Linked DNA regions of Saccharomyces cerevisiae S288C. The protein of the gene in region 3 binds, or shares a complex with, the protein of the main gene of each other region. Each region holds a gene or a part of one and is shown on either strand. Other genes may lie near its edges. The genes, in order: MRPS17, MRP10, RSM18 and MRP2.

The links.
Region 1: RSM18 (region 3) and MRPS17 share a complex: the UniProt entries of both Saccharomyces cerevisiae proteins name them as parts of the mitochondrial small ribosomal subunit.
Region 2: RSM18 (region 3) and MRP10 share a complex: the UniProt entries of both Saccharomyces cerevisiae proteins name them as parts of the mitochondrial small ribosomal subunit.
Region 4: RSM18 (region 3) and MRP2 share a complex: the UniProt entries of both Saccharomyces cerevisiae proteins name them as parts of the mitochondrial small ribosomal subunit.

The regions. Positions count from the first base shown.
Region 1 is NC_001145.3:635,417-639,271, forward strand, and holds MRPS17 (mitochondrial 37S ribosomal protein uS17m MRPS17), read right to left. Parts: upstream 1,589-3,855; coding exon 875-1,588; downstream 1-874. Other genes in the region: YMR187C (uncharacterized protein), read right to left, coding at 1-568; GCV2 (glycine decarboxylase subunit P), read left to right, coding at 2,084-3,855. UniProt on the Saccharomyces cerevisiae protein: Component of the mitochondrial ribosome (mitoribosome), a dedicated translation machinery responsible for the synthesis of mitochondrial genome-encoded proteins, including at least some of the essential transmembrane subunits of the mitochondrial respiratory chain.
Region 2 is NC_001136.10:370,374-374,128, forward strand, and holds MRP10 (mitochondrial 37S ribosomal protein mS37 MRP10), read left to right. Parts: upstream 1-1,874; coding exon 1,875-2,162; downstream 2,163-3,755. Other genes in the region: type 2A-related serine/threonine-protein phosphatase SIT4, read left to right, coding at 1-333; NPC2 (sterol transporter), read left to right, coding at 867-1,388; FAD1 (FMN adenylyltransferase), read right to left, coding at 2,315-3,235; MTF2 (Mtf2p), read right to left, coding at 3,594-3,755. UniProt on the Saccharomyces cerevisiae protein: Component of the mitochondrial ribosome (mitoribosome), a dedicated translation machinery responsible for the synthesis of mitochondrial genome-encoded proteins, including at least some of the essential transmembrane subunits of the mitochondrial respiratory chain.
Region 3 is NC_001137.3:252,892-256,595, reverse strand, and holds RSM18 (mitochondrial 37S ribosomal protein bS18m RSM18), read left to right. Parts: upstream 1-2,208; coding exon 2,209-2,625; downstream 2,626-3,704. Other genes in the region: HOM3 (aspartate kinase), read left to right, coding at 1-221; JHD1 ([Histone H3]-lysine-36 demethylase), read right to left, coding at 462-1,940; TPA1 (oxidative DNA demethylase), read right to left, coding at 2,934-3,704. UniProt on the Saccharomyces cerevisiae protein: Component of the mitochondrial ribosome (mitoribosome), a dedicated translation machinery responsible for the synthesis of mitochondrial genome-encoded proteins, including at least some of the essential transmembrane subunits of the mitochondrial respiratory chain.
Region 4 is NC_001148.4:874,689-878,428, reverse strand, and holds MRP2 (mitochondrial 37S ribosomal protein uS14m MRP2), read left to right. Parts: upstream 1-1,799; coding exon 1,800-2,147; downstream 2,148-3,740. Other genes in the region: mediator complex subunit NUT2, read right to left, coding at 1-353; MET16 (phosphoadenylyl-sulfate reductase (thioredoxin)), read left to right, coding at 797-1,582; Rho family GTPase RHO1, read right to left, coding at 2,432-3,061; MMS1 (Mms1p), read right to left, coding at 3,503-3,740. UniProt on the Saccharomyces cerevisiae protein: Component of the mitochondrial ribosome (mitoribosome), a dedicated translation machinery responsible for the synthesis of mitochondrial genome-encoded proteins, including at least some of the essential transmembrane subunits of the mitochondrial respiratory chain.

The DNA.
Region 1 (3,855 bases), on a different chromosome or scaffold from region 3:
TTGTCTTTTCAGGGTTTAAAAGAAATAAACTAGTTATCCCTAATGGTATCACGTATCGTGTAATTTTTTGCCACTGATAAAACAGGGATAGTACAGAAGACTGGATGGTTACTGTAGGTCTTTTTATGAAATTTGTTTTCTTGCATTGAGGACATTCGCCAAATTTCACTAACACATAAGGTGGATGATTATCCCGTTTGGTATAAAGAGACATTAGATTGAACACGTAGTCATTTTGAAACGGTACTGATTTTTGCCCCCAAATGGGACGAGTTTCCCATATTTCTGTAAGAGAGAAAGTCGTCATAAAATCATGGTGCCCATCAACGAGACATTTTAAACAGGTGATTATAGGTAAATCAGCATCCTTTGGTAGGTCCACTGTGTTCGGAAGAAAAAGTTCAACATGCATTTGATAGAGCCATCTTATATAGCAGCGTTTATGAATTTGTAAGTTGCAACCGCACGTGTGCTGTAGCCATGTAGAGTCATATGTGGATTCTTCCAAACATATCCAGCATATGCATCTTTTTTTTATGAGAGATAAAAAAAAATGAGGTGGGGTCATATAAAACTTGGACTATTTCCTTGGAATTTTCTTGTTTGTAAAATCAGAGCAGAGCTCTTTTATTTACTTTTGTTTTTGACGATGGGGACGAGCGATGTACTCACATCTTCGATATCACTTGCCTGAAAATATATAAATGCGTTAAACGATAGAAAATCAAAAACATCGTTCTTTTCACTAGAATATTTTAAAGTCAAAACATAACACTTTACTATTTACGTAACGAAGTCTTGTAGTTGTATATATTTACAGAGTGTAGTGCTTTAGTTGAGAAAATATGACACTCGGCTTTCCTCTTTCTTTTATTTACTGGCTTGGTTGTTGCATATCCATCATGACGTGCTTTCTTAACAAATTTTTTTTGATGTTTTTTTTCAAGGTCAAAGGATCCTCAACACCATGATCCTTCAAAAATTGATCACATTTTAGATCATTCGACAACAATTCGGATAATCGCGTTTGAATACGATCAATGAGACTTCTTTGTTTCTCCAAATTAACCTCCAATCCAGAGATGTCTAACTGTAAAAGTTGCCTCACTGTTTCTTGTGAAAAATCTTGAATGCCGTACCTTTGTTTAATCTCCAATAACTCTTTCGGCGTTGACCCGCTAGATAAAGCATCTTGGATGGTCCTAATATCACGTAAAAGGGTTGTTTTTTCATTTAGTTTATTCTCCCTCACTGATCTTTTATCCAAAAATTCTTTTGCCTTTTGGGCTTCTTCTTTTGCAACGCTTAACTGAGCTTCTGATTCGTATAATGCAAATTGTTGACCCTTGTTTCTAATAATTTCTGCAATGGCAAAAAACTTCCTCTTTGAAAGCGGCCTCGTCGCTTCTATCCTTACTAAATCACCCTCCCTTGATATTTCACCTTCATCATGCACTAAATAATCTCTTCTATGAAATAACTCCTTGTTGATTTTCTTATTAAAGACTTTTGTTTCTACACGTACTTTAACCGTCTTTTGCATCTTCCCTTGGGAGACGACCAAGCCTAAAAAATTTTGGCGAGCCATTACAGTTTAACTGATCTTGATTTGACTTTTGAAATCTCTAACCCGAATTCAACTCCCTGAGTTTACTTCTGTTTGGCCTTATTTGTGGATTTCCTCTAACAGTTTGATGCTCGCATTGGTTTGGCACAATCCCAAATTGCTTCAGAATTCTAATCTTATGAAATAACAATCATGTTACCCGGTTGAATCGTTACCCGACATCTCTGACTCTTCTTGAGGTATAGACTCCTCCTTTTCGGAGTCATGACTCTCAGAGGAGTCATCGAAGTCAGCATTGAGCTGTGAAGGACCTTGATAAGCTAGTCGAAAGATCTCCAACGAATATAAATGGATGTATATATAGCAGGCTCGAGTGGCACAATTTTCTTCTCTTCAAGTTCCAGTGAATTAGTCTTTCTCGTGTGTACCAATCTTACTGTATTGATTGCTGCGCGATCTAACCATCAACTAACCACAGTTTATTGGAAAAACGTTTCCTAATACCAGGAAGATAACATGCTTAGGACAAGAGTGACTGCTCTCCTTTGTAGGGCTACTGTCAGGTCAAGCACCAATTATGTTTCATTAGCGAGGACTAGATCATTCCATTCTCAATCTATTTTGCTCAAAACAGCCGCTACAGACATAACGTCTACACAGTACAGCAGGATTTTCAATCCTGACTTGAAAAACATTGATAGACCGCTAGATACTTTTGCTAGACGTCATTTAGGTCCTTCTCCTAGCGACGTTAAGAAAATGTTAAAAACAATGGGTTATAGCGATTTAAACGCATTTATAGAAGAGCTCGTTCCTCCCAATATTTTGAAGAGAAGACCCTTGAAACTAGAAGCTCCTAGTAAGGGATTCTGTGAACAAGAAATGCTTCAACATCTAGAAAAGATTGCCAATAAGAACCACTATAAAGTTAAAAATTTCATAGGTAAGGGTTACTACGGTACGATTTTACCACCGGTTATACAAAGAAACCTGCTAGAAAGTCCAGAATGGTATACTTCTTATACGCCCTATCAACCCGAAATTTCTCAAGGTAGGCTAGAAGCGCTATTAAACTTTCAAACGGTTGTTTCAGATTTGACTGGTTTGCCTGTGGCGAACGCCTCATTGTTGGATGAGGGTACAGCGGCTGGAGAAGCTATGCTCTTGTCATTCAATATTTCCAGAAAAAAGAAACTAAAATACGTAATAGATAAAAAATTACACCAGCAAACAAAGAGTGTCCTTCACACCAGAGCCAAGCCGTTCAATATTGAAATTATTGAAGTTGACTGTTCGGATATCAAGAAAGCTGTGGATGTTTTAAAGAACCCCGACGTATCTGGTTGTTTGGTTCAATATCCAGCGACAGATGGTTCAATCTTACCGCCTGACTCGATGAAACAGTTATCTGATGCGTTACACTCTCACAAGTCTTTGCTCTCTGTGGCCTCAGATTTAATGGCTTTGACACTTCTAAAACCACCTGCTCATTACGGTGCTGATATCGTCCTGGGTTCCTCTCAACGATTTGGTGTCCCAATGGGTTATGGTGGTCCTCATGCTGCTTTTTTCGCTGTTATTGATAAATTAAACAGAAAAATTCCAGGTAGAATTGTCGGTATCTCTAAAGACCGCTTAGGCAAGACGGCCTTGCGGTTGGCCCTCCAAACAAGAGAACAACATATCAAGCGTGATAAGGCAACTTCAAATATATGTACCGCTCAAGCTTTACTGGCTAATGTTGCTTCGAGCTACTGTGTTTATCACGGTCCTAAGGGCCTACAGAATATTTCCAGGAGGATATTTAGCTTAACATCAATATTGGCAAATGCCATCGAAAATGACAGTTGCCCTCACGAACTAATTAATAAAACATGGTTTGATACTTTGACTATAAAGTTAGGTAATGGCATATCCTCCGAGCAGTTATTGGACAAGGCCTTGAAAGAATTTAATATCAATTTGTTTGCCGTGGACACCACCACTATTTCCTTGGCTCTTGATGAAACAACTACAAAAGCTGATGTTGAAAATCTACTAAAAGTGTTTGACATTGAAAATTCTTCGCAGTTTCTTTCTGAGGACTATTCTAACAGTTTCCCAAGGGAATTTCAGCGTACTGATGAAATATTGAGGAACGAAGTCTTTCACATGCACCATAGCGAAACAGCAATGTTGAGATATTTACATAGGTTGCAATCTCGTGATTTATCTCTTGCTAATTCTATGATTCCTTTAGGTTCCTGTACTATGAAATTGAACAGTACTGTTGAAATGATGCCAATCAC
Region 2 (3,755 bases), on a different chromosome or scaffold from region 3:
AATGTAGAGGCTTGGCAAGTTTCCCCTCGTGGTGCAGGATGGCTCTTTGGCAGTAAAGTTGCTAGAGAGTTTAACCACGTTAATGGACTGAACCTTATTGCCCGGGCTCACCAACTGGTTATGGAGGGGTTCAAGTACCATTTTCCTGAAAAGGACGTTGTAACCGTGTGGTCCGCGCCAAATTACTGTTATAGATGTGGTAATGTCGCGAGTGTAATGAAGGTCGATGAGGATCTGGAACCTACTTTCAAAATTTTCTCGGCTGTTCCCGATGACTACATAAGAGAATCCACGGCAAACCATAATAATCAAAGAGCCGGCTATTTCTTATAACACGACGGCATGCCCTCCCTAACTCGACGAATAAAAATAATTTTCACAATAAAAAAAAGACTACAAAAATCAGAAACTTTTTCATTACGCCATTTGCTACGATACGATACACAACAAGCACATTCTAAGAGCATTCCATTTACTATGGTCAAAATGACCAAATAAAAAATTAAAAAAAAAAAGAAGGAATGAGAACTAGTAACTACATATTCAACAATTGCAGTTTTCTTTTCCTTTTTGTCCTTGTCCTTTCTTTCCTATTTATATATATATATATATATATATATAATACTACTATGTTATATTACATTATATTATTATCACAATAATTATTACGTTCATCGTGCCGAAACGTCACCTCCCACGGTTTGGATCTATTGAAAGAGGGTGGAATCCCTGATAATAAAAAAACTTTAATCAACACTCGGGAGGGGAAATATAAAAGACTGGCGCTACTTAAAGAGCTGATTCGCCAAGGCAGAAAAGCATAACCATATTAAATCTTCTCCTTCAAAGCTAGCACGCCTTCCAAAATGACCCACAGCTTGAAAGCTCTATTCGCCTTGCTATTTCTTTACACAGCTGCTGTCAATGCGGGTGTGATTGGCATATTCAACGCCCTTCCCCCACCAAACACCAAACCAATTAACGGCGAATCTCCACTTTACCAATGTGACATTCTAGACAAGCAACTTGTGGAAATCAAAGAGGTCAATTTGGACCCTAACCCTCCTGTTCGTGGCGAAAATTTGACTATTTCTGCTAACGGTGAGGTCTTTGAAACTATAGAAGAGGGGGCATATATCGACGTTGAAGTCCGTCTAGGATACATCAGACTGTTATCCCAGACTTTTGATTTGTGTGAAACATTAGAAGATAACGATATCGAAGGCTTATCCTGTCCAATTGAACCGGGTGAATACAACATTAAGAAAATAGTTGAGATCCCAGGCGAGGTTCCACCTGGCAAATATGTTGTTGTAGCAAGAGCTTACACTGAAAAGGATGATCTGATCACTTGCTTAACCGGAGAAGTCATCTTCCCACCAAGGTGATCTGATTCATACAACTCATTGATCCGTGTTTATTTCCCTTCTCGTTCCATGTATTCTTTTCTTTTACCCCATGTTCTCTTCACCCGTTCGAGGCAGGGTTTTTCCTCTTTTTGTTATAACCACCATCTAGTCGAATGTGGTTACTCTTAATATTTTTTTGTCGGCCAATGCTTCAGCGCCTTTGTCAACACCTACTTCTTTTCCATTCCTTTCCTCTAATTAAAAATCATCTATTTAGTGTGTACGTATTAAAAACATGTCATTACATTGATATCTCATTGCAAAATTTCTCCCTTACGCACATCTTTGGTTATTATATATGATGACAGGTTCGTTCTCCGGGTAATGCGGACTTTACATATTAATTCTTTTCCCAGTATTTTAGGCAGAATATAAAAGCTTTGAGGCTTTAAGTGAGACAAAAGTCTTACCATAGCAACACGAGGGCTCGCCGAAACTTCCATCTAAAATAAAGAGTGCCCATTAATGTCCGGAAAACCACCAGTTTATAGATTACCCCCTCTTCCCAGACTAAAAGTGAAGAAACCTATCATTAGGCAAGAAGCGAACAAATGTCTTGTTTTAATGTCAAACTTATTACAATGCTGGTCTTCATATGGTCATATGAGCCCTAAATGTGCTGGCTTAGTAACGGAATTGAAAAGTTGCACTAGTGAAAGTGCCCTCGGCAAAAGAAACAACGTTCAAAAGAGCAATATTAACTATCACGCCGCTAGGCTGTATGATAGGATCAACGGTAAACCCCATGATTAATTTTATATCCAAAAGCAGCAAGAATGAAAACTTGATAATATTAAAGTCATGGCCTTGTATATACAAATTAAATAGTCTCAACGGAAAATATATAAACTTTTAATCTAATAGTAACATCAGCATTTTATTTTCTTTCCTCCGTTAAACCGTACTTAATTCTTGATCCTGCCTGCTCTCTCTAAAGTGTCATCAACCAAATACCAGCCAGGATAGTAATTGTCATGGTATTTGCTGAATCTTTCCTTATCCACCACGGAAATAGGTGACGTGTTTATAGCGGAACTACGTTCGCCTTCTGCGTCCTTGCCAAATGCATGAATGATTTCCCATTCAAAATGCAAGGCTGGATTATTGGAGTCCTTTCTCAAGTGTGGGTTAGGCAATGAGTTGTTAATTCCGCCGATTGATGTGAAACCTTTACCATATAGTCCACAAATTGGCTCATTAGAATACAGTAAGAAACTCCATATATTGGTTAAGTCCCAGTGTAAGAGAGGTTGCAACCTCATAAAATCAGGCCAGTTAGAATCTGTTCTTTGAATAGGCTTTAATGCTTCACCAAATGGGTCTGTGTGTCTAATACCTATCACTATAGCTTCGGTCTCAGGGTATATCTTTATAAAATCTCTAAATGCGTCTGCCATATTGACCGATGCACCAGATTGCCTTTGTGATTCGTATAAGGAAAGGCAATATCGCTCTGAGGTTTCCAGTACAAAATTCTCTAATGTAGGGAAAGTTTCTTCTTGATCAATGAAAACAGTTGGAAGTCTTTGCATGGGGAAGCTTTGAAACTCGAAATCGAATTGGGAATTTTGAGCCTTAATGAAGAAATATTCCCATAAGCAACTCAGATATAACAGTAGTAATACCTGGCAATCTTTTCCTCCGTTGTACGAGAATGATATTTCCCCATTCAGTGGACTCCAACGTACAAAAATTTCACTTAGTAAGTATTTTCTTGTCAACCGTATCGCTTCTTGTGTACTTGCTATTATCTGAGATTTCTGGTCTATGTGTAAGTAAGAGTTTGTTATCTCATAACACATCTCAGCAGCCTTGCTCAACTGCATATTGTGCTCCCCTATTTGTTTATTACTTTTTGCAAATGTTGCCCTCTATACCGAGAAAGTAATATCAGTTTTTTCCACTCTCAGTCAACAAAATCTTTCGAAGATTTTTCGAGGTTCTTTCTATAGACGGATCCTTAGGTTCTTGCTAACCAACGTGTTGTATATGAAACCCATCTCCAAATTTTGAGCTCTTCCCATCCTTTTGTTTCCTCGGACTCAATGAATTTGAAATCTGCCGAACAAGCTAACTAAAAAATAGGAAAATTGGAACAGAAGTTAAATGCGAGCAGGAACGTTTATTAGCGCTTTTAAGTCTAACACATATATATAACACTATTTACAAGGTTTGAATAATTTTCTACCTGTCTCTAGTTAAATTTTTTTTGAGGCTTTTGAGATAATTTTCAACAATTAGTAAGTCATTATTCGTGTCTTTATTCCATAAAACACCTACATTCACTATTTTATTTGCGCTGGACGAAACTTCCTCATCTGCACTGAGCTGTTCTCCTGCTTCAAG
Region 3 (3,704 bases):
GTACCATGTTTACTACTCTTGCTGAAGAAGGCATCAACATTGAAATGATTTCTCAAGGGGCAAATGAAATAAACATATCCTGCGTTATCAATGAATCTGACTCCATAAAAGCGCTACAATGTATTCATGCCAAGTTACTAAGTGAGCGGACAAATACTTCAAACCAATTTGAACATGCCATTGATGAACGTTTAGAACAATTGAAAAGACTTGGAATTTAAATCCACCTTTCTTCTTCACTTTAATGATAGAATATTAATTTTCCCTTTATATATATATATATATATATATACGCGCACATATATTTACATATATATTAATGTTTTGTAACCTATATTGGGGCGATTATTCCCTAAATGTAATGTCAGGGTTATACTGTATCAATTGCTAAAGTAGATCTCATTCATCGAGAGCATAGGATGAAATAAAAGATACAAGAACGTGGCGGACAAGAAGAAATTTTACGAAATAAGATCGGCTAAAGCTTTCGCTAAATGCTTCTTTGAAGTGAAATTTAACGGCTTGTACTTAACTTCAGGTTTTATAACGTATGCATGAAGTGATTGAATTGCGCAATTAGTGGTCCTGGAAAGCAAATCCCCATCACTGACATCACTAGTGATTTTATTTTTATCAAGCGCAAGATACTCGCATAATTTACCCATCACTTGATCAAACTTCGGGAAGGTAAATCTTCTAGGAACCTTTGTTAACTTTTCAATTTCCACAATTTTAAGGTGTGTCTCCAAATCACGGATGGTTAAAAAGTTGCCTCCAAATACCAAAGAGTCTACTGGTGTATAAACTGCATGAATATATCCAGCTGGAATCATAAACAAATCACCAGCATCTAATTCCATCGCAATACCATCCTCAAGAATATCACCGAGGAAAACACTATTTTGGTCTTCTTTTAAAGACCACTCAATATACTTATCTATGTTTGATTGGGTAGGTGGAAATAATAAAAACTTCTTCTGTCCTGAGATAACGTTATAATAAACAGAGGTACCGGCAAAATCCAAATGAAAATCCGTATAAGCATCCTTTACAGACATCAAAATATATTTGGTCACTTTTGGCTTGGGGTCATTCTCCTCCGCCTTCTCCCCATTGACTTTTTCTAAATGTCCATTGAAACTCCAAATTTTATCAACAAGATCATTCTGCCTAACTGCAGTGGGCCTCTCTAGTTCTAATCCCTCAATATTAGAGACTTCTAATGATATAACATTCCTTATTCGATCCCTCCTGTCTGGTTCAGTATTTGTAAAATATTCATTCCAAGATCCCAAGTTCCAATTTTCATTCATTTGTGATTGAACGTCCATTACATCAACATGATAATCCTCGCCTATCATTTCGGTGATATAATTAACTGTGAGGCATCCATTGTCTGTGCCCACATTCGGTACATATACTCCGCTATTCAGTGGATCGATGATCTTGTACGGCACATCTATATTATCAAACTTTTCAGCAAAGTCAGCGGCGTTTATAATATTTGAGCCATTTTTCCATTTTTCAAAAGATTTCATGAAACTCTCCTTATGAGGGTGATTCATTTTATCCCTTTTCGATTCACCCTCATTCAAAGCGATATAGTCAAGTAATTTCTTCTTTCTGAAATTATACCGCTTATTTATATGACTATCTTCAGGGTTTTCTTTATTCCTTTGCCGCTTTCCTTTTTGTGTGATGAGAGCGTATGCGGTAAGATATTCTCCTTCCTTATGATTAGGACAACGGTAGCTCTTGATTTGCTTCGCAGAATTTGGATAAGACAGAACTTCAGAACTTGTAAGATTTGAATAGTGAATGCGTTTCAAAGGCACGCATTTCACGTGGACCCACTGCGGGCAACTATCACACTTCACCCAAATTAATGCGCCTGGATTATCCTTCAACTGGCAATGCTGGCAAATATTGGGATCTTGCATTGCACCATAGCTTATTAGTATTTTGTTTTATGATCATTACGTCTTCTTACTCATTATAATCACCCACTTCTATTAGATGTTCTATTATGCCTTTAAATTGCATTGTAGGGTAACCTGTTGGGGGAAAAAATATCTAGGATTACTTTACATACTTAAATATGAGTCCATTATTAACAGTGTTACAGTTCTAACCAAAAAGGCAAGGTTCTACACAAAACTTCGGATGTTCAAGATGAATGCCACCACAGGCATAAAAATTCAAAACGGTATGCAACCTATCATCAAGGGAGCAGTAAGCTCCACATTTAAACGTGCTCTATACAATTTCGGTATCAAAGAAAAGAAGAGTGTCAATATTGAAATGGGGAGAACGCAACAAACAAAGAAAATCGATCAGTCTTTGTCCAAAAAACTTCCCAAAGGTACTATCTACGATCCATTTGACTTCTCTATGGGACGAATCCATTTAGATAGAAAATATCAGGCAAACAAGAACTCAAACAGGAACGATATAATGAAGTCCGGTGCAAATCCACTAGAATTTTATGCAAGACCAAGAATACTTTCAAGATATGTGACCTCCACGGGAAGAATCCAACATAGGGATATCACAGGCTTATCGGCAAAGAATCAAAGAAGACTATCGAAAGCCATTAGACGGTGCCAGGCAATAGGATTAATGTGAACTGTACTACACTAATGCTTCTCCACATGAAATAATTAAGAAAATAAGGCATTTCATAGTTCTGTCTGTAAATATACAATATGTAAAAAGAATCGCAATTAGATCTTAAGTTAAACTTATATTCATTCTTATATTTCTTTAATATACCCGTTTTATTCGCTTACTCGAATTTGGATTATGGTAATGATATTCACGCCAGAGGAATAAGCTGAAATTGACGAATAACTTTTCAAATAATTTTATTACTTCTATTATACAACTTTATAAATATCTAAGCTGCCATTTACTTAATAAGACGGGTTAATTGTTTACGCTTCATCTTCCTGACCATCTTCATCACATGATTTGACATCCCACTTCATTTTGACATCCCATCTACTAGATTTAGCGCTCCAGCTGACGTACTTAACAAACTCCAAAACACTTTCATCTCTCAAGACCAAATTGAAAGTATTCCAAGCAGGTGGATCATTAATCAATACTGAATCACCACTGTCATCCGCACGATAAACAGAAGCGTCTTCAACGTCTTCCTTTAAGTATTGCTTATTATCTTCGTCGTCGTCCATCATGTACAATTCGTAACCACCAAGCTCTCCGGATTCCCAACCGGCAGAAGGTGTCAAGCACAAAGTACCTTCCAAGACAGCATCGATTATATCTGGATTGCTTTTCAAAAGTTCATTAAAGCGACATTTGGTGGCCAATGTGAAATCCATTCCTGGCCTAAACCTTCTAATAAGGATTTGCTCACTGACTGGGCACAAAGAAGTTAGAAGAGCTAGGTATTTCTTGAAAATTGTGCTCTTGTGAAATACAGCTAGGTCAATCAACGCTAATTCTGCATCAAAATTGTTTTCCCTACTATTTCCGGAAGCATCGGAGATAATTTTAATTGCGTCCTTAGTAAACTGAAAGTTTGGCAAATCATTGTTATTCAGCGCCTCAAGAATATCAGCTTCTGTTTGGAAATTACGGTATTCCTTACCGTCGATGTACAAATAACGGGCTTTGTGTGGAGGAATAGCCGTTTTCCACGGAGCTTTCACATCTTTTGAATGATAAGGACATTCCTGTTC
Region 4 (3,740 bases), on a different chromosome or scaffold from region 3:
AATCCATGCATCTTGCCTCTTTGATATTGGTTGGATCTTCTTATGGCTTCCACGAACTCTCTTGTGTAAATATCTGGATTTCTACCGTCCTCAATGTATTGAACAACTTCCAAGGGAATGTCCACCTTAGACAAGCTGGATTGAGGATCGTTGCTTCTCACGTTCAGCTTGTACAAGCGATCCACATTTCTTTGCAAGTTGGTGATCATTCCCTTGGTGGCTTCTGGAGTACCAGGAAAATCATATATCGAGACACCTAATTCAACGAAGGACTCAATAATCGAAGCCACTTGGTCTTGAGTAGTGGCCAGTTCTTGCTGCAATTGTTCATTGTTAGTGCTGTTTCCATTCATCTTATCGGTTTATTTTTCTATATATTTGCCTCTTTCTCAAACAGGAGTTAGTAGTTAAAAGTACGAAGTTCTTGTTCTTTAATGCGCGCTGACAAAAGAATTGGATAAAAGAGAATGGTGGGGGGACAAGAAGGAAATTTGTCCTAGTTTAACATGAATGGCATCTTGTTACCGGGTGGACATCACCTATTGATTCTAAATATCTTTACGGTTTATCATACTGTTCTTTATTCCGTCGTTATTCTTTTTATTTTTATCATCATTTCACGTGGCTAGTAAAAGAAAAGCCACAACATGACTCAGCAAATCTCGACAAAGTAAAAGCTCATAGAGATAGTATTATATTGATATAAAAAAAGTATACTGTACTGTTTGTAACCTTTTCAATGCTTTAAGATCAAAACTAAGGCCAGCAAAGGTATCAACCCATAGCAACTCATAAAATGAAGACCTATCATTTGAATAATGATATAATTGTCACACAAGAACAGTTGGATCATTGGAATGAACAACTAATCAAGCTGGAAACGCCACAGGAGATTATTGCATGGTCTATCGTAACGTTTCCTCACCTTTTCCAAACCACTGCATTTGGTTTGACTGGCTTGGTTACTATCGATATGTTGTCAAAGCTATCTGAAAAATACTACATGCCAGAACTATTATTTATAGACACTTTGCACCATTTCCCACAAACTTTAACACTAAAAAACGAGATTGAGAAAAAATACTACCAGCCTAAAAATCAAACCATTCACGTATATAAGCCGGATGGATGTGAATCGGAGGCAGATTTTGCCTCGAAATACGGGGATTTCTTATGGGAGAAAGATGATGACAAGTACGATTATCTGGCCAAAGTGGAACCTGCACATCGTGCCTACAAAGAGCTACATATAAGTGCTGTGTTTACTGGTAGAAGAAAATCACAAGGTTCTGCCCGCTCCCAACTGTCGATTATTGAAATAGACGAACTTAATGGAATCTTAAAAATAAATCCATTGATCAATTGGACGTTCGAGCAGGTTAAACAGTATATAGATGCAAACAATGTACCATACAACGAACTTTTGGACCTTGGATATAGATCCATTGGTGATTACCATTCCACACAACCCGTCAAGGAAGGTGAAGATGAGAGAGCAGGAAGATGGAAGGGCAAGGCCAAGACCGAGTGTGGAATTCATGAAGCCAGCCGATTCGCGCAATTTTTAAAGCAAGATGCCTAGATAGATAGAGTACGATATATAACCATATGTATGTGACTAATTATTTATTCCTTAATAACACCAATGATTACAACTTTCTAAAGCTGGCGGAGAATTCGCGCTGTACGAGAAAAGAGCGAAAACAGAGGAATATTCAAACTAAGAACCAAACTGCGATAAAGAGGATTGAAAGGAAAAACGAAAGAAAAGGTAAACTGACAAATATATACATTAACCGATGGGTAATTTCAGATTTCCTATAAAAACCAAGCTACCACCAGGGTTTATCAATGCTCGCATACTTAGGGATAACTTCAAAAGACAACAATTTAAAGAGAATGAAATCCTTGTTAAATCTTTGAAATTCATCGCTAGAAATATGAACCTTCCAACAAAACTGAGGTTGGAGGCTCAGTTAAAACTAAATGCATTGCCAAACTACATGAGATCTACGCAGATCAAAAATAGGTGCGTGGACTCTGGACATGCAAGATTTGTTCTAAGTGATTTTAGGTTGTGTAGGTATCAATTTAGAGAAAACGCTCTGAAGGGTAATTTGCCAGGTGTTAAGAAGGGTATTTGGTAAAAAATTTTATCGCGAAAGTATATATATATATATATATAGGATACGCACTTGTAAATAAATACATGATAATTTTTATTCTTCTTTAATAGATGATAATACTTACTGAGCAATACACTTATATGTAGAGAAGAATAAGATTATACACATACTGGGAGAAAAACAAGTAGCTATAGTTAGAGCTAAAATAACAAAAAAAGGCATACGTACATACAATGAGAAAAGGAATGGGATTGAAAAAGGGCAGTATCTGCCACTAAGTTAACGACTGAGAGATCGAGACACTCCTATAACAAGACACACTTCTTCTTCTTCTTTTCAGTAGTGTTCTTCTTAGCTTTACCATTCGTTTTAGATTTACCCATCAATGAAGCTCTAGTGGCGGCCTCAAACACTTCTCTGACACCATAACCAGTCTTGGCCGAACATTCGTAGTATCCGGTTGCGCCAATCTGGTCTGCTACAGATTGTCCCTCCTGTGATGTAACGGGTTGTTGACCTTCTTGTCTTAATTGTTCAATGGTTTGTGGGTCGTTTCTCAAATCCACTTTACAACCAACAAGAATAATTGGCACACCTTGACAGAAATGTAATACTTCGGCAATCCATTTTTCTTGTACATTCTCTAAAGAATCTGGAAGATCGATAGAGAAACAAATTAATACGACATTGGAGTCTGGGTATGACAATGGTCTTAGTCTATCATAATCTTCTTGACCAGCGGTATCCCATAGCGCTAGCTCTACACGACGCCCATCAACTTCAACATCTGCTACATAGTTTTCAAAGACAGTTGGTACGTAGACTTCTGGAAATTGGCCCTTGGAAAAGACGATTAATAAACATGTCTTACCACAGGCACCATCACCAACGATTACCAGCTTTCTTCTGATACTGTTACCAACTTGTTGTGACATCTTTCTAGTATAATTTTTAAAGTTCTATGATTTTCTATTAGTGCAACAATAAACCTCTAACAGCGATTCTTTTGTTTTATTAATTTTGTTCCTTTTTTGAGTTTTGTAACTTTAAGTTTGGGTTGTTCCAAAAATGTTTTTGCAATACTCAGAGGAATGATCGATGGTCGAAACGATATTAAAGACGAATTCCTGCTGGTAAAATAAATATATACGATTAGGATAAAGAAGTATTTGTATCAACTACTAAAACATGTAGTACCCAATACAAATCAAACAAAAATTGTATAATCTGTTTATTTTTTTTTCTGAGGCGAAGCAAATTGGAAACAACAAGAATTCTTGTATCTTTTTTTAGCCCCTTGTCACGCTGCACGACGCGTAGCACATTGATCGAGAATCACGATTTTATCAGCGACAATGTTATTGGAAATGAGGGAATTATACTGTGTTCTTGCAGTTATCGCTAAGGTTCCATAACCCAACCTCACAGATGAGGTCAGATTTAACTATTGACCTTCTTGAAACCAAATAGCCAGAATTCCATCTTGGTTCGTATTCGTCCTGGCAAGGCAACCTGTCCTTGCCGAATTTGTGAATTGTTTGATCTGCCATTAGCACATATAAAGTTTGTACTGCGGGATCGTAACTAATATCTTGAATAGGCTTGTCCAATGCT